6 linked regions of the Nothobranchius furzeri genome follow. The protein of the gene in region 4 binds, or shares a complex with, the protein of the main gene of each other region. Links are inferred from orthologs where the notes say so. Each region holds a gene or a part of one and is shown on either strand. Other genes may lie near its edges.

Region 1 (4,151 bases), on a different chromosome or scaffold from region 4:
CTTCCAGCATTCCTTCAACTAGTTCTTGCCCAGTTCCATTATCAGAAGTAGCGCATCTAGCGGGGGCTCATAGAGAGCGGTATGTTAACTAGCTTACCAACGTTAGCTTACGTTCTCTCTGCAGCTGTTCACCGATGTAAACATGTTGCTGACTTTGCCTAAATCCACCCCTCTGGATTTATAACTTTATGTTGTAAACAGCGTTTCACTTCACACCAAAGCAGATTTTTAAAAAGTCTGGATCTCTACCAGCTCCTGTTGCTGGTGGTGTTACCGGGTTCAGCTGCTGCTCTCACATCGGAATGAGATCTCTGAACGCTGAAGCTCATATAAATAAATAAATAACGTAATTTTAACACATGTAATCATACATCGGAGCTTTAATATTGTTAATAATTGTCTCGCTTTATACAACAGTGGACGGCGCGCGTCATCCGGGGTGAAATACCCATCCATCAGGATTATCAATAACTTGTATGAACACATCACCTTTATCCCTGTCCCTGTCTTCCTCGTGAAATAAATGAACATTAATCTTACCCGGTAAAAACATGTTCGCTGCAAATCTGAGGGCTACTTCGCTTAATTGATCACTGCAGTTTGTCTCCGTCCTCAGTCTCCCATCAAATTTATTAAAAAGAAAAAACGAGTTGAGTTTATGTCCTTGTCTCTTAGTGCAGCCGACCATGCAGCAGGCTAAAACCATTTTACTGTCAAATCAACTAAATAAAAGCGATAAAAGGCTACAAACTGGCTTGTTTTGACCAGCTTCACTGGGGATTCTACAGGTGTAAATGGTATTTTTGCCGTCCGTCATGGCGAAGGGGGCGGTCACATGAGTGGCGTGAGGTCACGTGCAAAGGGTCAATACCCAATACTTTAACAGTCTCAAGTTGCTTTTCTCTCTAAGGCTGCCCCGTTCCTCCAGGAGGAATTCTTAGAGCATTACATGTCTGGATGTGTTAAATAGATTATGTTTAATAAGTATTTCTTCACAAACAGAGGTGAGAAGTCAGGTCAGAGGGTCAAATTTTCATTCCTTAGGAAGCTTTTCCTTCTCTTGACATAAAAATACTTTGTGCCTTTAGGTAAATTCATGTAGTTTATCATTTATGATGTCTTAAAATACTAGATCATGTCTCACAAAACTGACCTTTAATAGACCCAGCAAGGTTTCTCAAACAAATCACTTATTATGTTGAACTGCTTTACTCACACTTTAACGCTCACACACATCTATCAAAATCAAGTCAATAAAGTTTATGAACAACTTCTCTTGACTGGTTCTGAATGTACCTCCAAACTGGTGTAGAAGCCCCCAGCTTCCTCATCCTGTTGTCCCAGCGTGGGATACAACCACACAAAGCCATTATTACCAAGGATTATAGATGCACCACATGGAAGATTGTGGAAATGTGTTTTCTGCCTCTTGATCAGAGAAGGAGAAATCTGGACCAGCACTCCTTGACCCAACTGACAGTCAAAAAGAATTGAAATAAGATTGAGATTAAAATTATTATTATTATTATTATTATTACTACAGATTATTTTCCCACAAAAGAAGCTTTTTATAATTAGGAACGTGTTAGTGTAAAAATTAGTGGGATTACTCAGTGTCACTGTGTGCTATAACTTACTTTTCCATATTTTAAACTACGAGTGTGAAGTGAGAGTGCTCCATCTGAAAAAACAGACTGCACTTCTGCCTAAAAAACAAACAAAAGTTCAAACCCAGTCAGGAATAAAAAAAAACTGGTAGTAAAAGTTGGTCATTTTGAATCAAATGTGTCTTACACTGATTAGATCGCCTTCCTGGATGTATTTTCTCATGGTGAGCTCGTCTTCTGCAGATCTTCGTCTCTAAAAGGCAAAATCAATCAGTTTAGCAAAAGTAAAAACAAAAATCTCAACCAAAACATATGAAGCTACGTTCTACTATCTCACCAGTTCTCCTCCAGGCAGATTGACAGATGACAATAAGAGGACCGAATCTAGTCTGGAGTTGGTATCCACCTTCCACCGCTTCTGTTGAACCTGAATTTGAAAACATCCCCATTCTGAAAACTCTTGATGAAAGTACTACATCTTTTTACTGTTTTTAGATCACAAAAACATTTGTTCACCTCCGTGATCCTGCCAACAACCACATCTCCAACCTCACCGTTAAATCTGTAATTCACATCAGAGTTATAGGACTGCATTTAGATAAAAGCAGGACACATAGCAAGTGAAAGCAGTGCAGAGGTAAATGATGTTTCATGGCTCTTAAATTAATGGCGTACCTGGTCTTTAGAGGTCTGACGCAGATTAGTTTGTCAACTCTTTGCACCTTTCCTGCAACTGAAGCCGTTAGTTTATCATCGTCGACATATGTTCCATGACCCCTGTGAGAAAACGAGGTAAAGTAATGGTTACCAGGCCTTTACTCCCAGGCTTCACAGTAGAACCAGTACCCACCTCATGAAACCTGTGTCTGAGGTGATAACATCGCCGGGAACTACCAAATCTTTCCGGTATACAGCGGGAGCCGACAAAGTCATTGTTTTTTTAACAGTCGGTAATCTCATGTCCACTGCCATGCTTGTTTCTTCTTACTTTTCCCGCTCGCGACAGAGTCCACAGGGCTTTACTTCTATGTGCACACTTAGAATAGTGAAGAAAATTTAAGAAAGGGTTTCCTCCCCAAAGTTAACAGTCGTTTAAAAACCAACTGGCTCAACAAGCTACAAAAATGGACAACAATATAACTATAACAGACCATGCATGTCTGTGATGCTAGGTAGCACACTCTCCTACTTCTGCTCTGTTACGTAGTTTGTGAGACCAGCTAACGCCCCCTACTGGTACGGAGTAAAAGCGACAGAAATTGATGTTTTGTTACTGCTCTCTTTCCGCCAAATAAAGATCAATGCAGTACTACTGACTCAGCCAGGTTCAGATTAACAAACAACTCAATAATAGCTAAATCATTCCACTTCTGTGATCATAAGATTCATCACAGTTTTACTGGTGGAATCTTATAAGCCCGCTTTAATTGTTAATTCAGGGCTTTTATTTCTTCTTTATCAATTTCACTTCCCTCAGTTTTTGTTTACTTTGCAGAATTTGTGATTTTATTAGGCAAGGTAAAAACATATTCCAGAAAAATATACAAAAACAGGATAATTAGGGTTGGACTTTTTAAATAAATTCAAATTTGTTTTCATGAAAGTTTGTACAAAAATATATAGCCTAGAAAACCATCAGATTGCACCCAGCCTTTACTTTGATTCATCCCCTGGAGCATGCATAGGTCAGACAACAGTGATGAGGAGGATTTCACACTTGGATGCAGACTCCTGGGGGTTGTTTCCTTTCTAGAGCTTTCTTAAGTTAGCTCAACAATACAGCCAAACATCAATTTTTTTCTTTTCATGTTTACAGATGTATGCCATTTAAATTAATACATTCTCAGCTCAATCCAGTATTTTTTCAACTGTAATTAATGTTTTGATGAGTTCTTAAAATATCTATAATCCCAATGCCATCCCTATAAGTTTATTGTGGACTCTTAAAAATACATATATATAGTATAATGCAAGATTATTTTTGCTTCAGCAATTGACGGTCTAGATTCTAGGCTAGGTCAGAATCTTTTTTATTGTTTTGCTCTCAAATTAATTTTTTCAAACACCCCAACCCAGACTTATCTCTGCAAATAGCTTTGTTTTATGGAACTCAAAAGTATTCAAAATTCAATAAATAAATAAGACATTATGAAATAAATGTCTACATGAAGAAATACTAGACAATCATGTAATCTGACAATGAAATGATGAAATAACAGAATGTTATGTAAAATCTAAGTTCAATATTATGAAATATTTTTCATTCTTCTTTTAAAATGGCAGGTCACACCCACTGGTTTGACTGACGGACTGAGACATTCTGCTGTAAAGTCTCATTATGAAATAAATCAGCCATGGGAAAAAACACTATTAAAAAGAAGTTATGTAATAAAAACTGAATGAATTAAATTAAAATGGCTCAATGATCATTTGGTTTATTATGAAAAAAATGACTTTAGAAATAAAACTTTATATTAATAAAGATATTTTAAAAGAAGAAGGATTTCCTATTTCCACCTTCAGAATATTGCTTAGATTAGAAGC
Region 2 (4,179 bases), on a different chromosome or scaffold from region 4:
TTTAAGACTTGTTGGATTTGATCTGTCAGGTTCCCTCCAGGCACCAAATTCACCTGCCTGAGACTGCAGCTACATCATTCCATCATCTCAGCTTTGAATTCCACTGGAATGATCCTTAGAACTAAAATCCACTGTTGGATGTTTAAACACAAGTTCTAAAGATCAAACACATGTCTCCACAGTGATGGCTCCTACCTGTCATGAAACTTTTAACCAATAAGTCACCCTGTTCCAAACAGAAATAAAGCTTATTTCCACCAAAGTTATAAACAAGTTAATGAATAAAATGAGTAAAATATGATGAGGGGGAAGCCTACAGCCCCCCCTTCTGGAGCTTCCTGAACTGTTCCCGTCTCTGCGGTGCTGTCAGGGTGTCACAGCTCTGCAGGAGATTGGAGATGATCAGAGTCTGCTGGATGGTGGATGCTCGGACCCAAATCCGACCGTTCATTCCCACCACCAGCTCACAGGGGAACAGCTGTTCCAGGTCAGACCGGATGTCACTTTGGGGGGCCAGCAGCCTGTTAGGGAGGGAGAAACGAGAGCACGACCAGAGCTGTTACCATGTCAGAACTCAATGTTGGGTCTTTGTAACAGATTAACTTTGTCCTGTTGATAATCACTCACAGATACATGCAGGAGTTAAGAGGCTCTTGTTCTGATTTAGAACAGCTGCAAGACACTCACAGAAGCTGTTCTGTCAGAGGATTCTTTATTACCCAACACTGGACTTATGAGTCAGAATAGGCCACTCCCTCTGGCACATATGGTTCAATTAAAAATGGAACTAAAGACAAACTGACCCAGTTCTCAGACAATGACCTCTGCTTCAGTTTCAGACAAATTCTCTTTAAATAACCTGGGTCTTGTTCCAGAACCATCAGGACTAAATATGTGGTTCTGTGAGAACTTCACACCTTTGCAAGTAAATTGATGTCTGTAGATGAAACCCAACTGTAACAGAACCCGGCCTTTGACCCAGTCCTGATACTCATCCAGAAGCTCCTGCTGGTTCAGAGTTTGTCAGTCAGAGAATGAAAATGTTGGGTAATGTTACCTTCTAACGAGGCCCAGAGAGACTTTGAGGAGCAGACCACCTCCTCCGAAAACACCCATCCCGTTGGCCCGGCCCGATCCGTCGATACACACCAGCTCTGGTTCCATGTCTTTATTGGCTACAGTGAACTGAGCGAACACCAGGTCTCCAACCTGCACAGGGAACACACAGAGGGCAATACATAAGCTGATCTGGTCCAATAAGGACAGGGCACCAAAGTACTGATAGTCCAGAGGGACCCAAAAGGTCCTGAGCCATCAGACATGCAGCATTCAAACACACCATGTAGGCACAAATCAGTCAGGTGAGAAAATGAGTCTCAAAAGGATTTTTGCACTTGTAAACTGATCTGTGTGTAATGTAGTTTTGTCCGTGTGTACTAAGTGATTTGTGTGTGTGTGTTTATTTAATGATCTGTATGTGTAGGAACTGAAGTTACACACGAAAATGTAAACAAGTTACAAATCAAGAGTTATACATGCTTAGATCTATCTACACACACACACATCTAGATACACACACACATCAAGATACACACAGACACAGATTTTTTTGAGACTTTTTTTCTTCCCATAAGACACCCAGCATGACTAAACGATCAGGTGTACTTCCTGTTGGTCCCGACACGTTCCATACTGGGTCAGCGTAAAAACAATACATCAGAACTCTTCTTTCAATCCTCTACAGTGATCATATGTGTGTCTGTGTGTTGCATGCTTGTGATTTTGGGGTCACAAGGGACACAGAACTCCTAAAAACAGCTGACGGGTCCCCCAAATCTGGACTCTAAACATGACTCACTTGTTTCAAGTAGAAAAAAACTGTCCCCTGAGTCTCACCTGGACATTGGGTCTGTTCCTCTTTGTAGCTCCTTCAAAGGCCAGATAGGACAAAGATGCCTGCTCACTGCCTCCAACGTCCACCTTAAAGATGTCCCCAGACTTGGATGTCACAATACCAATGACCGTCTCTGCTTTGGCTGGGACATACTGAGGACAGAAGTTTCAGGTGGTGAGTGGATAGAACATGCTGCTTGTGCCAACGTGACCAGTTTACCTTTCCATAATCGTTACCGGATGAAACAGTATAAAACACCACTGCAACATAAACCTAACTTCACCCTAGTTTAGTTTTGTAGAAAGTTTCAAACTTTGACTTCCTTCAGACTTCCGGTACATTAACTTTTTAATTTTATATACGATCACAACAAAGTGTATAGAACAATAAAAATAACCATTAACAAGGAAACGAATATTCAACAGATTTGAATATGAAATAGATAATAAATGATAAACTTTAGGGTATAAAAAAGTTAACACATCGCAAATGTATGGATAGGGGGACAAATAACTAGAAACACATGTAATTTCCGCCGGGTTTTTCATCAGTGAGAACTCTGAACCTTGTCTATTAGCTCTCACGGTTCTGTTCTGACAGGTTCGGCCGCGAGTCCAGTCTGGACCGGTCGGTACCCACCCTCCACTGCTGTGAGTCCATCCAAAACGTGTGCGGTGGTTTGTGCCTCAACACGCCGCTCTTGCTCACCACCAGCCGGTTTCCGCTCTGCCGCAGCCCCGGTCCACACACCGGCCGCTCTGGCTTCACATTGTCTGTTAGAAAAATTGTGTCCTCAGACTCGAAGACAAATTCATCTCCAGGTAAAAGAACTTCACCGATTTTCTCCTTCAGACTTGAAAACATACCGCTAGCTAGAAGAAGTCTGGACCTCTTGGTTCTGTTCTGGTTCCGACTCAGAGCGCCCCCTGCTGCTCAGGAGGAGATAGACCTCCGGCTCAGCTCGCTCCCTGCTGCTCAAGAAGAGAACTAGACCAAACTCTTGCTTTGCAATAAAAAATATAAATAATATATTTATTTAGTCTGGCTAATTTCTGAATACTGAAGGAGATCCTTCTGGAGCTTTGCCGTGATTTGGGACCCTTTATGGAGCGGCAGACAAACCGCATGAATCTGATTCCAGTCCACACTGAATCTTTTAAAACTATAGAAGCGACTGACCCCAGAACCTCCTCAGCGTTTTTATCAGTAAGGGCATGTCTAAGTGGGCTATTGACACAAAATTTGCTCCAGATGTTGCTATAAACCCATATATGGAATTCACACAAAGAAATCAGGAAGTACAAGGTGAGTTATAATAAATAAAGTGAAATGACAGGGAACCGGTCACTCTGAATTTTTCATGCAGGCTGAACATGAAAACAGTCTTCTACACCTATCTCCTGCATTAGCTTCTGATAGAAAATAGACTGTGAAATGCTAGGATTTGAAAATCCTCACATATCTATGTCACAGTGTGAACTGGCCGAGCCTATCTTTGCTCGTGCATGCACAGGATGGCTTTTTTAACTTTTTTACAGTGAGGAGAGAGAACGGAGAGTGTCTTGGTGATAGTCACTTTGTAACATGGCTGAACATGTTCTGTTAGCCAGTCAGAAGAGAGGTGCGTGTCAGTGGCGTGTCCAGATCTTTTAAAATGGGGTGGCCTAGGTGATGCACTACTTTGTGCATGGGTGGCACCAATGGTTATGCTTTTTTACATTTTTTTTACCCCAAGCCTTTTGTGGACAATGAAAAGCCTATTTAAAGGGAATTCAGTGTGGTGGCACCTGGGGTGGCCAATCAGATTCCAAGGGTGGCATTTGCTACCCCAGGCTACTCCCTGGACACGCCCCTGGTGCGTGCATATTTTTAATAATATGAGTATTCCTGCTGTTTTCAGCCCACCTCAATGATTAAAAAGTTGGACATGTCTCCTTCACCCTCCATCCAGAAAGCAGCTAAGTGTTATCTTAGATGTTTCCATGTTGTTAACTAGGTACTTTTAGGATTTAAAAAGTCAAGAAGGGGGTCTGAATAGCTGTTAGAAATAGCAACAAAGTTGCTAAGTGGGCAACACTGTGGGGGTGAACACTTGATTTGCAACTCGGAGCAGTGCAAGAGGAAGGAGCAAATAATCGGCTTGTTTTGTTTTCATAATCGTTCAAAACTTAAGTCATAATTGGGAATAAAATTTGATTAAATGTGCAGCCCTAGTAGAGATTTAAGAACAGGGAGTGATGTGTCATGTTTTGAGGGATGTGTCTAACCCAAGACATGCAGAATCA
Region 3 (3,966 bases), on a different chromosome or scaffold from region 4:
TTTATGATTTGGTTCTCAGATGTTTTCTGAAAACCAAACCTTTGTCCACTGTGGGGGAACTGGTTTCTACAGCAGGAAGCCCGAAGCTCTAAGAGCCTTGGTGATATTTTTTTTCAGATGATCAAGAAGAAGACGGGTCTTGTAGGTAACGAGCTTCCACGGTTACATATTTCTACTTTCGGAAGACTTTTCTCTGCCGAGGCCCTGTGGAGTGAGAGGACATTTTAAAGAGAATTTCGCATGAGGCTGCCCTTTAAGCACAGATTAGCAACACCAAGCCGTCCACGTGTCCACGACGTGAAAATGCAAATCTGATCTTGGGGAGTATTCCGGCGCAGGGCTCACGCGAGGACTCAGAGTCATCATGCAAGACGGCGTGCGTTTGTACAGCAGATTTTCAAAAGGTGTTACCTTTTAACAAGGAGCCATGAGCATATTCTTACATGAATTAAGACATCAGCTAAGTGTGCGTGAGACATTTCTGGACACTGAAAAGATAATTTTTTTAAGTCTTTGTCAGCAGTTTTATTGTTATTAAAAAAGAATATATATTGACAGTGGAAAATACAACTTTTAGATAAAAAATGTTGTCTGAGTGTATTTATTGAGCTGTCTTCATGCTTTTTATGACTTTCTCAATAAGTTTGTGGATCTCTCCCTTTCGTGCCGTTGCTCTTTTGATGCACTCCTGCAGCTTCTCTCCCGACAGTGGCGTTCCACCTGGAGGCAAAGTTTGCAGAGCCTTTTATCCCCGTTTTCTCAAAATACTCAAAATAATCTGAAGCTTTATTTCATGGCAGAAGCACCACAAATCTAAAGATCACAGATGTGCCATCTCTGACCTGGTTTATGTAAGGAGCACAGCTGATCTTCCTCATCCATCACCACAGTGAGGCGTGCCGTCGACAGGCTCTCCTCCTCGGCGGTGGGGTCTACGATCAGTATGGAGCTGCACAGGAAAACCAAAAAGGCTTAAAGAAGAACAAAATGGCACTTGTACCTAAAATAAAAATTGAATTGAAATCAAACAAACGTACTCATCAAAGATGCAAAAGGAGACGCTGACTGGATGTCGGTGAATGTTAAGTTTGTGTTTCTTTTCAAAATTCACCTCCGGGGCGGACGTCTCTTTGTTGATGGTGACTTCTGGGAGTTGTGCTGCAGGGAAAGATTACTAAAAGATAGATTTATTTTATTTATTACATGCACCGTTTCAGTAAAGTCTCAACCCTACTTACTGGTTTTCAGGGCAGCCAGAAGGGCGACAACACAAGCATCTAGGATGTTCCCGTCATAGTCGAGACACATGATGTCACAGTAGAGGACCCAGCAGAGCTGCAACAAGATTTAGCAGAATTATGATTGAATATATTACAACAAATAAAGTCCACACATGAGTCTAAAATCACCTTTCCTCGGCCAATGCACAAGTCTTCTTTCTTGATCACCTCAGAGCTGCACGACACATGAAGGTTAAGTCAAAGCAGTGGCAGAAACACTACAGCTGGAAACTAAAGGTGTTTGAAGGCTTAACACACCTCTCAATGATATCAGCGATGAACTGGCTGGCAGCCTGGGCCTGTTCCCCTGGTGGGCCTGGTCGGAAGCGGGACGAACACAGGGGTGGCAGGTCTACATTGGGCACTTTTTTAAAACATATATAGACAGATGATGATGTCATAATAAAATACAGAATCAAACAGAAAATACGAGATAAAGAATTAAGCAATGAAAACCTGATGGAAACAAGGAGGCTGTAAAATGTGTTCAGAACTTACCTATGTAACCTTTACCAGGTGCATCCACAGTAGGGTTAGTCAGCTCCTGCATATGAACACATGACTTTAACACCTAAAGAAATCTTAGCAGTAGCGGTTTGAGTCATTGTGCACCAGTACCGCTTTGATGCCACAGATGATCGTGGTGTTTCCCAGCTTTACCAGAGCGGAGCCGTCTGCAGTGGAAATAGACCCTGAACAGAAAATAAGTAAAAACTGTTACAGCTGGCAGTGATCAGCCCTTTAGGCACTGGAAAATGTTGGAGTTGAAAAAATATGAGCCGACTCATTTTGTATTAGAAGTACATATTATTTTATTTACATCATATCTAAAATTATGTTTTATTACAGGGAGGAAACATTTAATTTATTTTCTTACCAATGTTTAAGGTTGTACTTCTAAATTCAGACAACTCCCGCCCATCAGGTCTACAATTTTCTTTCTGCAAATGAAGCATTTGCAATTACAATGACACTAATAACAATAATAATAACATTTATGGGTTTCTACTGGGTATAGTTTGTATGTATTTGACGAACCAAAAAGCTCCTGTGATACTCCAGAGGCTCCGCCGTCCTGAAAGTTTAAAGAAATTAAATAAGACAAATTAGTAACAAACACGTGCGATCCTGCAATAAACAGCAGACCGATAAATCTAACAAATAAAGTGTACTATCCCGTCACTAGCCCAACTGACGTCACAGAAATGTTGTTTCTGTATTTTTTGACAAGCAAACTAAATTTAGATATAACACTGAACATTAAATATATCGATGATATATATTTGATGAAAATCAAAGTCTGAATATAAAGAAAAATACATGTTAAAAATGACTTACTTGAAACCAGCCGCCATGATGTTTTGATTACCCACGTGAACTACGGTGGCCGCGACGAAACTGTGATTACCAACGACAAGTGTGCATTACCGCCACCAACTGGACTGGAGTTCGGAAATGAACGAAAAACTGGCCAACAAATTCGTCTTTTTCAAAAATGAGTTGGTGTTGTAAGGTCAATAAAACTTTCAAATTGATAACCGGTCACAATTAATAAAGATTAAATAAAACTCGATATATTAATTTGCTAAACAAACAATATTGTAGTGTTTAAACAATTGACAGTGAATAAATATTCCTTACAAACTCCTCTTTCCTAACCGAACAATCCAGAGCAAAATTGTGGATTCTCTTATGTCTTCAAACTGAACTTTTTAGTTAGAATGGTTTGGATCATTCTTTTAAAATACAAAATTAAACTGTTAAACAAGTCATGTGTTTTGATGTTGGTGTGTGTGTGTGTGTGTGTGCGTGCGTGCGTGCGTGCGTGTGTGTGTGTGTGTGTGTGTGTGTGTGTGTGTGTGTGTGTGTGTGTGTGTGTGTGTGTGTGTGTGTGTGTGTGTGTGTGTGTGAGCAGTGCATGCATGGCAACTCGGTTTTCTGATTATTTTCTGCTTTACTGTTTTCTTTACTCAACCTCAAACGAGCAGTTAGATATCTGAAGATTGTCTTGGTCTGTTGATGTTTTGTTGCATTAACCCTCTGATGCATGAATTATGAAATCTTCAACCATGATTTTTTAAACTATTTTTTTCATTCATCTTTAGGTGTGAATGAAACAAATTTCAACAAATATTTTTTGTACCATTTTGTTAATTTACAAATACTTTATTACATGTCCATCTCAGTGGACAATGTGCATTCTGAACATGAAATATGGTGGCTTGACTTACTGAAGTCCAAATGGAAGGGCTCATATGCAATAAAGTCTTCAACAGCTGTGCTTAATAGCAAAAATAAATAAATAACAATTTTGAGTAACTGTCCACTGTAGTGACCGTTATGCACCAAAGGGTTAAGCAGCAAAATAAGCTCAGTTTTTGTGCTGGAGCAGGGAAACAAGTAAAACATGATGGATATGGAATATCGAGGCCCAGGGTTAGAGAGGTGGTGTAAAAAATAGGCGTCATTGCTTTTTAACTTCACTAGCTGGTGGGCCGGTCTCGGCTCAAAACGAACTGGCTGATTTTTTGTCCCAGTCCAGCCCTGTTGGGGACCCATGGTCGGAAATAGATGGGTGTGACTTAGCTTCCCATTGAGCGTGAGACACGTGTCTGACCCCTTTCACACACCTCCTCGTGCATGGAAACCATCACAAGTTGGCAGCCCTGTAGAAAATAACTTAGTT
Region 4 (3,686 bases):
GTCATTCTCTTGTCAAATTCCCAACAGAAAAATAAAGAACTTTACCTCCTTTTGTGTTTTCTGTGGTTCTGACCCAGCTCTTCTTGAGCTCCTGTTCCAGGTGAGTGGGACACGTTTGTCCAGAACGTCCCACAGATCTGTAGTCAAGCTGGTTTTTTAGGTTGATTAAAGACTAAAGGGTTCCAGAAAAGGATCACAGAAGCAAAAACTAGAAATATTCCGGTGGAAAAGGTAAATAAACACCGGATATGTTAGTTTAACTTTAAGACTTCGTTTAGGTTTAGTTTCTAACTGGCTTGTATTAGAAGAAATAATTGGAGGACATTTGAAGTAGAACAGATTGTTGGTGCACAGCGCCCTCTGGTGGTGGTGTTCAGGTGCACAGCGCCCTCTGGTGGTGAGAGGCTCTCGACAGGAAGAGGGAATTTCAAACTAATTATTTTTTTTACCTTTTCATGAATCAGAATTTTTTTGTGTGTCAACCAGATTAAAGACCAACACAAAGTTAGCTATTTTATTACATATTAAACTCGTCAAACGCTGAGCTGTTGGAGCGTCTCTCAGGTAGACGGGGGCGCCGCCCGGCGGACCGCTTTGGTCAAGACCTTTTGGATAACCGGGTAAAGTTTGTAGCATCCTTCGATGCAGGTCCGAACCCCCGCAGTCAGGGTCTCCTCAGACATCTCACCGTCGGACTGCAGCCCAGAAATCTGGTTCAGACTGGGCAGGAAGGCCACTGTGAGCCCGCCCCGGCTCTCGCTGCTGTTACACCTCCAGCCGTTCTCCTCCAGGTAGGACGGGTCGACCACGTAGGAGCTCCCAACCTGCTGGAGGGAACATCCGAGCACCAAGTCGTACATCTCAATCCCCGCATCCGCGAGCGCGAGGGAGGCACAGGTGACGGCGTGGGCCAGGGCTGAGCCGCTGTTCTCCAGAACCATCACGCTGACGTCGATCTGAGAGCGCGGGTATCTCTGGAGGCACACGGCCGGCTGCAGGCTCTCGTGCAGCATCAGAGACAGGTCCTTGTCCTGGCTGCCCTGGATCCACGGGACCCTCTCTGGGCAGGAAAAAGGGGCGAAACGCACATCAGTGGTCAGCCTGGAAGCAGAAACGCACATAGGATCATTTTCCCAAACAAAACCATCCCAAACATTACAATCCGATGAAAATAATCTTCTGTTTTCAGGTTAAGTAAAGGAAAATGATCGAGTCGCTTGGAAAACTGATAAAAACAAATTCCTGTTGGTTGAGCTAATTTGCTTTATTGGGTTAAAATTTGATTTAAAAAAAAGTTAGATAAATCTCTTCAAGTCTACAATCATTTCGCCTTGCTGCCACCGGAGGGCGCGATATCTGATGAGTTAAGTGCTGTAGCTAGCTGCTGATGCTCCCTGCTTTAGCTTGTTGATTTAATCCTGTTTAACTCATAGATGTATTAAGTTTTAAGAGTTACGTAGTTTGTATATGTGCACACGCTCTGACTTTCTCGTTATCTACACTAATTGTGCTGTTGGCACCAATTAAAAAACTTAAAAGTGGTTTGTTTTATTTTGAGGGGTTAGTCTCGTGGAAGCTGTAACTGCTTTTGTCCGCCAGAGGGCGGAAAAGTCCATATTCTCGGAAGCCTGCTACTAAAAGACTGAATTATCTTGTTTATATCCAGTTGACCTAAATAATTCAAATAACTAACTAATCTGACATGTTTGATTGTAAATTGCCTGGTCTGGGAACACCTTTGGCTCTCCTAGGCTGAGTTAAGAGTGTCACTGGGAAGGAGTTCACCTACATCACCTGGCCTAGGGTAAGTTAAGGATTCAAATCTCCCTCTAGCCGCCAGAACATTTGCTCTTTCTACCAATGGGAAGGTTTGATGATCACAAAAAACACTCGAACTTCACTTTCGAACACATGAACAATCAGGCTGAACCTGTCGAGCAGAAAACGTGATTGTGATAAAGCAGCGTACCTCCCACTTTTCATATCGGTCTCGTCTTTCCGATCGGTTTCTCGGGGTCCGTAAACGCAGCTGATCAGCTTCGTGTTTCCAGCTTCGATGTAAGCGGAACCTTTAGCTTGACTCACCAGGCCGCAGCGGACGAAGACCGGCCGGACGTCAACTTGGTCCCGCTGCCGACCGTCTTCTCGGGGCCCACGCGAGGCTAGAACCGCAGCGGGTTTGTACCCGAGCAGCACGGGGCTCTGAGAAACGTCCGGACCACGAACCCGCTTCGTATCTGTCGGCATGGTGCATGCGGAAGTGGATCGCTCATAAATGTGTCCCCAAAGAACTACAACGGGAGTGGAAAAGTTCCCTCAAATTTTAGTTCCTACTGTGTTCCGGAAAAGTTCCCTCAAATTTTAGTTCCTACTGTGTTCCGGAAAAGTTCCCTCAAATTTTAGTTCCTACTGTGTTCCGCAATGTTTCATCAGCTTTTTTTTTCTTATGTAGTTTAAAGCGATGCAACAAACTGTTGTTGTATTTTAAAAGTATTTAAGTCACACACTATACCAGTCAATAATGTTATAGTTACCTTGCAGTTTATTAAAGCCCAGAAATGTATTAAAATTTCAAAATAAAATTCTGATTAATAAATGACTCTATTCACTTTGGATTCATGTTATTAAAAAGGACAATGTTGGACAAAGTTCTTAATAGTAAATACATAAGAGATTTACATACCGTCTAACAACAGGATTGGCTGCATAGTGTTTACTGTTAGCCTCAAGGGTAACCTGCTGGCTTGATTTTCACCTGTAAGTCGCTTTGGACAAAAGCGTCTGCTAAATACATAAACATAAAAATAATTCAGTCACACTTGAGACATATTTTCTATGACTAAATATTGATATTTATATTTTTTATTTAAGATCTTTTCATCAGAAGACACGGTATCGTTGTATAATTATTACTTCATTTAATAAATTCAAATATATGTAAAAGTAAAAAATGGTGTAGGTTTAATTATTTCTTTGCTAACACTTCATTTGTGGTAATGACAGGTGTTAGCCAGAAGAGGGCGACAGTTACCCAGCAACCAAAGATTAAAAACCTGCAAGACAATTCACTGCTTTGTAATGTTGAATTTGCTGGATGTACCGCAACAACCATACTATGTATATATAAACATATATGTATTTATATACATACATATGGCTATAACTAACAAATCCAAAATGTCCTTCTCATTGGTTTTAAATAACTTTATTTTCAAACTTACACAATTCTGACACGTATTAAGTTTTAGTGAGGCGGCCAAAGACATTTTTACCTGTAGAAAGTCGTTCATACACAGCAGCGTTAACTCATTATTTTACTACGTTGCATTTAAAAAACGCTATGTAATAAATTAGTGCGAATGTCTAAATTAAAGGCAAATTGAATCATAGATGTGCCTTGCGCACATACTTGCGCAGCGCAAAACGTCAACACAAAAAATATTAAAGTTCGGAAAACCATCAAAAGACTGTGTTGAATGTTTTCCTCATTTATTGAGGCTAAACATTATAACCATCACATGTTTTACACGTTAGTAAAAGAAAAAGACTGTTGGCACCTGCGTCTTTTTCATTGCATCAGCCAGAGCAGTAAAAGATTGTACCTGATGTGGCGGGCTTGGTCAAGACTGACAGTGATGTTATCCAATAGGATTGGACGCTTGATGACGTACATCTGTGTCTGGACC
Region 5 (2,883 bases), on a different chromosome or scaffold from region 4:
CTCTTATCTCTCTGAGGGCTCCTTTTCTGTGGCAGTCTCCAAGTTTAGGTCCTCCACCACCTCCCTTACCCATGGTGTCCCACAAGGTTCTGTGCTGGGGCCTCTGCTCTTCCTCCTCTGTCTGCTTCCTCTTCAGCACATCCTGAGCTCCTTCAAAGGAATCTCCTACCATCTTTACACAGATGACATCCAACTGTACATCTCCTTTAAGCCCCATGAGATGTCTAAGCTGCAGCTGTTACACACCTGCTTAGACTCTATCAAAACCTGGATGGTGGGAGCTTTCTTCAGCTGAATGAAGATAAGACTGAGATCCTCATCTGTGCCCCAGACAAGCTGGTTCCCAAAGTCAGAGACTCTCTTGGTCAGCTTGCTTCCCACACCAAACCCTCCGTCAGGAATCTTGGCGTGACCTTTGACCCAGCTCTCACCCTGGATTCTCATGTCAGTTCTCTTGTTGGCTCTTCCTTCTTCCATCTCAGGAACGTTGCTAAGCTGAGTCCCATTCTGTCCCGCTCTGAACTTGAGACGGTTCTCCACTCCTTCATCTCCTCACGCTTAGACTACTGTAACTCTCTTTTCACGTGTCTGAGCAGAACCTCCCTGAACCGTCTACAGGTGGTTCAGAACGCCTGTGCTCGGCTTCTGACCAAGTCCTCCAAACACACCCACATCACCCCGCTTCTCCTCCAGCTTCACTGGCTGCCAGTCAACTTCAGGGTTCATTTCAAGATCCTGGTTCTGGTCTATAGGGCCTTACATGGACAAGCACCATCTTACATTGGTGATCTTCTTAGTCCCTACACCCCCAGCAGGTCCCTGAGGTCCAGTGATCAAAGCCTACTGGTTGTGCAGCACCAGGCCAAAGACCAAAGGTGACAGATCATCTGCTGCTGTCGCCCCCAGACTCTGGACCTCTCTCACCCTGAGCCTGAGATCAGTGGACTCAGTGGTCTCCTTTAAAAAGCAGCTGAAGACTCACTTGTTCAAGCTGGCTTTTGTATGACCTTCTTCACCTCTCTCTCTTTATTCTGCTCTCCCCACCTATTCCACCTTCCTCAGGATCCACTGATTTCCCTCTTTCCTATTCACTCTCTCTTTCTTAACATTTTTTTGATCACAATTGTCTATTTTTTGCTCATTTTAAATATATTTTTAACCATTTTCTAAATTGTTTTTTATATTTTAACATTTTTGTTTTTGTGAAGCGCCTTGTGATTTTTATCTTGAGAGGTGCTATAGAAATGATATTTTCTTCTTCTTCTTCTTCTTGTGACTCCCACGTGTCAGTCTGAAGTATATTTAGAAGGAATTCTTTGAAAAAAGACTTTGTTTAATAATTTAATTCCTAGTTGAATCCATCAGCATGTTTTTGCTCTGTGTTGTTGTAGGTTATGAGATGCAGTAAAATAGCCAGCGTCAAAGTGTCTGAAATCACTGAACTCATCAGTCAAGCCTTGTTAAATGACAAGGCTGCCAGGTGAGTGGCTGTCTCCTATTTATTACTACATTACCCACAATTCCCTTTAGAGGCTACATTTGAATGATGTGTTTGAAACGTTCCAGGAAGGCAGGTGGTAAATGTGGCTTTGCCGAGTCCATGCCTCAGGATCGGATCACAGCTCTGAAAATGGACCAGACCGATGTAGAGATGACCAACGTGAGCCAAACAGGAAGTGGGGTGATCCTCCAGGGAGATGAAGCCCCGCCCCCAACGTATCCTGAACTGAAATGAAAGGACAAAAAAGGAACGGCATTTGTTTTTGTTTCTGACAGTTAGTCTCCCTAACCACACACCCATACCAGAGTCCCATCCCCAGTGGTGCCGGTGCCAGGTGTTGGTCAGGTGGGTCAGGGTCTGCAGAGCTGGGGACTGGAGGAGGAAGAAGAAGATGATGATGATGAGGAGGAGGAGAGCAGTGGAGATGACCAAGTGGAAGAAGTGACACAGATAAAACTGTCAGAAAAAGACAAGAAAGAAGGTTATTTGTTTTCATAACTAAAAGTCATGGAAGAAGAAAAAAAATTATAATTGAACTTTAATGTGTTTTGTCTTACAGCAGCTGTGGTGGAGATTTCAGACAGTGAGGAAGAGGAGGTGGTCATACTTTATCCAGAGACGACAGAGAAATCAAAGTAACATCTATTTGTTTGATATGAAGCCGAGGAGGTTGATAAATTAAACTAATCTCACCGGTTTCTGATTTTTTTCTTCTTCAGGAATTCTGGGTCCAGATCTGACCAGAAGGGGGCAGCAGCATCCAAGAAACGCCAGAAGAAATGACCGCAGCTTGAAACCGAAACAGAGAAAATACTACAATAATATGATATCGAAAAAGGCTTAAAACTGATTCAAATAAATTTATTTTTTACATTTCTAGAATCATTGTTGCGCGAATCAAAAGTTTGTCCATCATATGTCACTCATAAGAAACTTAAATAAGTCATGAGTCAGGTTCACGATAACACACGAGATTCACGCTTAGACAAAAATTCACCGTGTAGATGTGATGGTGGAGTGATAAAAAAAACAAACCAATTTACGTTAAAAATAATCAGGTTCCACCGAGATTTGAACTCGGATCGCTGGATTCAGAGTCCAGAGTGCTAACCATTACACCATGGAACCATACTGGCATCGTCGGGCGAACTCCTTCCTATTGAAAAGCAGCAGAGACATACTGTTAATTTGTTTCTGTTTAGGTTTGCAGACACAACAGATATCTTTCGTTAAATGAATGCCAGTAGCACATTGAATTGCCTCTGTGTATGAAATGTGCAATATAAATAAAGCTGCCTTGCCTAGTGAAATGCGTTGTGGAGTCCTCTGGCGTCACATAAGTGCAGATCATTTATGGTTAAAATAATGACGGATTTGGACAG
Region 6 (4,122 bases), on a different chromosome or scaffold from region 4:
CCTGCTCGACCCGAGCATCTCTCTTTTTCTGTGATTTTACAGAAAAACAGGCAATCACAGTAAAAATGCCAGGGCTCATTCTACAGGACCAGGGCATTGCAGGAGAATGTATGAAGAAGACATTTATTATTTCTATACATGTTTTGGCTGTCACACTTCCATAATGCCCCTTTAATCAGAGACGTCTTTAATCTCATTTTAGAAAACTGTTTCCATAACATACCTTACAGGTGACAATGGCTCCTACATCTGGAAGTAGTTGAGCTTCTGTTTCTCTCACCACTGAGATCACTGGTAACTAAAAACACACAAATGCATTCATGAGTACAAAAGTCAGTAATAAGTACATTTAAATCTTCAGCAGTAGCTCAGGAAGTAAAGCGGGTAGTCCAGTGATCGAAGGGTTGTAGGATCGATCCCTGCACAGAATTCTGCTGGTGTGTCCTTGGGCAAGACACTTAACCCACCTTGCCTGCTGGTGGTGGTGGTCAGAGGGAATGGTGGTGCCAGTGTATGGAAGGCCTCACCTTTTTCAGCGCACCATTGGGAAGCTGTAGCTACACTGTAGCTCATTACCACCAGCAAGTGAATGCGTGTGTGCATGGGTGATGCCTTGGAGGGGTTGTAGAACCCTAGAAGGCACTATATCATTTTTGGTCCACTACAAAGCTACTGTATACAACAGCTATTAACTCTAGTCCAAATACCACAATCACCTAAATGGAATTAAACATTGTCCATCACATTAAGAATTTCATTTATATAAATTAGTACAAATGGATAGAGACCAAGCAGTGTTTAAGAAAATATGTAGAAAGAGTTGTATCATCACGGGTGTGAGCTTCACTGCTCATCTCAACATTAAAGAATTAAGCTTAAAAACACAGAAAAGCTTCAGAGTGCAAGAAAAACTGCCTAAAATTATGAATTCAGTCACATTCTGTCCAAGTCGTAATTCATTAGCTGGATTTTCTTATTTCACCTAATTTAGGCAGAGTAGTCGAGTTACAGATGAAATGAGGCTAACTGCATTTATTTTGTTTATTTTATCAAATGTGACACAATTTTGCTCCCTGGAATCAGTTTTAAACATTGAAACTTAAAGAGCAAGTCACCCCCTACCAGAGTTGTACTCCACTCCCACTTCATGTGTGAAAAATGCAACAAATGCTGTTGCCTGGCAGACCGAGAGGGCGGAGCCACTAACACACACACACACAGCATTGTGACATCATATGGTACCAACTAACGTTCTAGGGTACCTCTTAAGCCTGGGTCATGCTTCTCCGTCAGCTCCGCAAGGGACAGACACGCATGGATTGATGGAAGCGTTTTGCTCTCATACTTCTCCGTCCCCTGGAGTGTTGCAAAGCAATTCCCCGGCAGGACAACAGAGGGCGTAGCGCTGTTCTGTGGTATCCTGTCATTTATCGGTCCAAGATAGTGCGTTTATATTATGTTTTTTCATTGTCTTCTTCATGCGCTCGCCACCTTAAACCCAGGTTTCCTGTCATTTCTGTCCACAAATAAAATGCTTGCTGCGCATCTTTTCACTCCTCCAGTCACGGGGAATTAAACGTTCATATTTTAGAGGTTTTTCGCGAGGTATTCTTCAAGCTTCTCCGTGTCTGCCGCTTGTTATCCTCGGCTCTCTTTATGTTTTTGCGGGCGCAATGGCGGCGCTGTAGACAACAGCGGCGTCCTGACCAATCACAAGCTTGCGTTGTCCGTCTCGACTGACGGATGTTTAGAAAAGAGAGCTCGACTCCGTCCGTCCTTGCGGAGCTCTCCGGCAGGCCCGCAAGGACGTTGCGTGTCTCCACACTGACGCAGACGGAGAAGCATGAATCAGGCTTTAGCCAATACCGATGGCAGATTTAAACTCAAATGCAGCGCAGAGTTTTTACCTGACCATGGCACAACACTGACAGTTTTAGGCAGAAAATTAAAATTTTAACTAAAATGCACTTAAGTGCAAAACTATTGACAACACGGGTCTGCAGCACGATTAGATACACGTTTATATAGTTTATCAGACAAAATAAAGTTGATTTGGGGTGACTTGCTCTTTAAGTATATGTATTACATTATGATCCTCACCTTCTCGCCTTCGGTTGTCTTGAGCACAAAGCCTGCGAGTGAGGAGTAAATGTAGCCATGCCGCAGATATACTCCTGCGCCTGGATTACAGTCTCCCTCACTGCAAAGCTTGTCACCTGAGTGCAAACAGACAACAAGGGTCAGAAAACGCTACAGTAAAATAACAAACGAACAGTGTTAACATCACAGACATGAACACACCTGAAGAGCACAACCACTGTTTGTGACTTTAGTCAAACCCTCTCATTTTTAATGTGAGTTTGTGATTTAGTTGCCTTTCATTTCGTTTTATCAACATGGCAAACTGCTAATCCTGCATAGTCTAGTGAGTGATCGTTTTGTTTTGATGTAGCATAAACACAATTTAGTACTAAAGCTGGTTAGCGGATTTCTTTTGGGTGTGTGAACGAATGATAAATATGTGCTAATTCCACGCGTGTAGCAGTTGGGGCAACTTTAAAGCCCTCTGACTGAAGTTTAAATGCATACTTTAGTGACACATCGACGTCTACACGAGCTGGAATTGGTACGTGACCAAAACACGGTTCTAAATCTACGCAGTGCCTTGTATGGAACATTAAATCAGCGGACTCACCTGGAACACACAACTTCATGGGCGACATGTTTTCGACAAGAGTAGCTTGCGAGCTCATTGGTTGGGACGTCGTCTGGAGTCGATTCTGATTGGTCCGGCTGTGGAGACCGGAAAAGGGCGAAGGAAGGCTCCAGTGCTCATGTGCGAGAAAACGAAGCGCTCCGATTTGTACTCACACTCTCCGCGGGGTGTCGCCAACCTTTATGTTTTTGGTTTGTAAGGGAAAACTTGTTTTTACTTTATTAAAGATGAAGCACATATAAAGAACATTCATTTAAGTGTGTGAACAAACAAACATGGCTGAAGTATCAAATAAAGACCACAAACATCAAGAGAATCACATAAAGGGTAAAAAAACTAAAGGTTTATCAGTTATTTATCTTGCTGACAAGATAATATTTATTGAAAAGGAATATAGTTTCTGAGCTTTTGTTCTTTCATAACTGTTAACGATTTAACATAAATATGAAATTATTTTTAAAAGCTAAGAAAGTCTTTGCTTTTGCAGATGACGTTGTCCTGTTGTTGGCTTCATCAGAACGTAATCTCCAGCTCTCACTGGAGCGGTTCACAGCACAGTGTGAAGGAGTCGGGATGAGAATCAGCTCCTCTAAATCCGACACCATGGTCTTGAGTCGGAAAATGGTAGAAGAACTTGTCCAGGTCAGGGATGAGGTTCTGCCCCAAGTGGAGGAGTTAATGTATCTCGGGGTCTTGTTCACACGTGAGGAGAAGATGGGGCACAAGATCGACAGGCGGATTGGTGCTGCGTCTGCAGTAACGTGGGTGTTGTACCGATCTGTTGATTTCCTGGTTGATCTACGTTCCAACTCACACCTATGGTCACGACCTTTGGGTAGAGACTGAAAGAATGAGATTGCGGATGCAAGCAGCCGAAATTTTTCTCTGCAGGGTGGCTGGGCTCTCCCTTAAAGATAGGCTTGGTCATCCAGGAGGGGTTTGGAGTAGACACGCTGCTCCTCCACATCAAGAGGAGCCAGTTGAGGTGGCTCGGGCATCTAGTTAGGACGCCCCCCTGGTGAGGTTTTCTGGGCACGTCCAACCAGAAGAAGACCTAAAGGAAGACCCACTGGAGGGACTGTGTCTCTCAGCTGACCAGGGAACACCTTTGTATTCCCCCGGAGGAGCTGACCCAAGCGGCTGGGGAGAGGGAAGTCTGGGCCTCCCTGCTTAGGCTGCTGCCCCCACGACCCGACCCTCGATAAGCAGATGAAAATGGATGGGTGGAATCAAAGAAATAAGGGAAACTTTTAAAATTTTGCTCCTGTGAATAAAGTTTGGCAATATAAATTTCTTTGGGAACCAAGAGCGCCCAGAAACAACCCTCACACGCATAAGGACATTTAAAAGGTGTTGAACACTCATTGAATCAGTACATCTGCAGTAGTCTCTAGTAGGACTGAATG

What was found.
Region 1: exosc6 (region 4) and exosc2 share a complex: the UniProt entries of both Homo sapiens proteins name them as parts of the RNA exosome core complex. The link is inferred for Nothobranchius furzeri from reciprocal best matches to the Homo sapiens genes EXOSC6 and EXOSC2.
Region 2: exosc6 (region 4) and exosc3 share a complex: the UniProt entries of both Homo sapiens proteins name them as parts of the RNA exosome core complex. The link is inferred for Nothobranchius furzeri from reciprocal best matches to the Homo sapiens genes EXOSC6 and EXOSC3.
Region 3: exosc6 (region 4) and exosc8 share a complex: the UniProt entries of both Homo sapiens proteins name them as parts of the RNA exosome core complex. The link is inferred for Nothobranchius furzeri from reciprocal best matches to the Homo sapiens genes EXOSC6 and EXOSC8.
Region 5: exosc6 (region 4) and exosc9 share a complex: the UniProt entries of both Homo sapiens proteins name them as parts of the RNA exosome core complex. The link is inferred for Nothobranchius furzeri from reciprocal best matches to the Homo sapiens genes EXOSC6 and EXOSC9.
Region 6: exosc6 (region 4) and exosc1 share a complex: the UniProt entries of both Homo sapiens proteins name them as parts of the RNA exosome core complex. The link is inferred for Nothobranchius furzeri from reciprocal best matches to the Homo sapiens genes EXOSC6 and EXOSC1.

Annotation. Positions count from the first base shown.
Region 1 is NC_091746.1:53,646,581-53,650,731, reverse strand, and holds the start of exosc2 (exosome complex component RRP4), read right to left. Parts: upstream 2,801-4,151; 5' UTR 2,580-2,800; coding exon 2,458-2,579; intron 2,385-2,457; coding exon 2,283-2,384; intron 2,170-2,282; coding exon 2,124-2,169; intron 2,035-2,123; coding exon 1,945-2,034; intron 1,861-1,944; coding exon 1,795-1,860; intron 1,707-1,794; coding exon 1,638-1,706; intron 1,474-1,637; coding exon 1,297-1,473; intron 1-1,296. UniProt on the Homo sapiens protein: Non-catalytic component of the RNA exosome complex which has 3'->5' exoribonuclease activity and participates in a multitude of cellular RNA processing and degradation events.
Region 2 is NC_091741.1:64,434,426-64,438,604, reverse strand, and holds the start of exosc3 (exosome complex component RRP40), read right to left. Parts: upstream 2,801-4,179; 5' UTR 2,759-2,800; coding exon 2,534-2,758; intron 2,047-2,533; coding exon 1,897-2,046; intron 1,210-1,896; coding exon 1,058-1,209; intron 522-1,057; coding exon 314-521; 3' UTR 1-313. UniProt on the Homo sapiens protein: Non-catalytic component of the RNA exosome complex which has 3'->5' exoribonuclease activity and participates in a multitude of cellular RNA processing and degradation events.
Region 3 is NC_091750.1:62,637,289-62,641,254, reverse strand, and holds exosc8 (exosome complex component RRP43), read right to left. Parts: upstream 2,701-3,966; 5' UTR 2,636-2,700; coding exon 2,619-2,635; intron 2,356-2,618; coding exon 2,319-2,355; intron 2,222-2,318; coding exon 2,158-2,221; intron 1,973-2,157; coding exon 1,899-1,972; intron 1,825-1,898; coding exon 1,779-1,824; intron 1,645-1,778; coding exon 1,539-1,644; intron 1,456-1,538; coding exon 1,410-1,455; intron 1,336-1,409; coding exon 1,239-1,335; intron 1,159-1,238; coding exon 1,038-1,158; intron 950-1,037; coding exon 843-949; intron 721-842; coding exon 602-720; 3' UTR 501-601; downstream 1-500. UniProt on the Homo sapiens protein: Non-catalytic component of the RNA exosome complex which has 3'->5' exoribonuclease activity and participates in a multitude of cellular RNA processing and degradation events.
Region 4 is NC_091744.1:81,855,721-81,859,406, reverse strand, and holds exosc6 (exosome complex component MTR3), read right to left. Parts: upstream 2,296-3,686; 5' UTR 2,248-2,295; coding exon 1,970-2,247; intron 1,102-1,969; coding exon 561-1,101; 3' UTR 501-560; downstream 1-500. UniProt on the Homo sapiens protein: Non-catalytic component of the RNA exosome complex which has 3'->5' exoribonuclease activity and participates in a multitude of cellular RNA processing and degradation events.
Region 5 is NC_091746.1:81,904,938-81,907,820, reverse strand, and holds the end of exosc9 (exosome complex component RRP45), read left to right. Parts: intron 1-1,391; coding exon 1,392-1,480; intron 1,481-1,566; coding exon 1,567-1,716; intron 1,717-1,806; coding exon 1,807-1,982; intron 1,983-2,060; coding exon 2,061-2,136; intron 2,137-2,220; coding exon 2,221-2,284; 3' UTR 2,285-2,383; downstream 2,384-2,883. UniProt on the Homo sapiens protein: Non-catalytic component of the RNA exosome complex which has 3'->5' exoribonuclease activity and participates in a multitude of cellular RNA processing and degradation events.
Region 6 is NC_091746.1:82,295,855-82,299,976, forward strand, and holds the start of exosc1 (exosome complex component CSL4), read right to left. Parts: upstream 2,801-4,122; 5' UTR 2,754-2,800; coding exon 2,696-2,753; intron 2,217-2,695; coding exon 2,101-2,216; intron 299-2,100; coding exon 224-298; intron 1-223. UniProt on the Homo sapiens protein: Non-catalytic component of the RNA exosome complex which has 3'->5' exoribonuclease activity and participates in a multitude of cellular RNA processing and degradation events.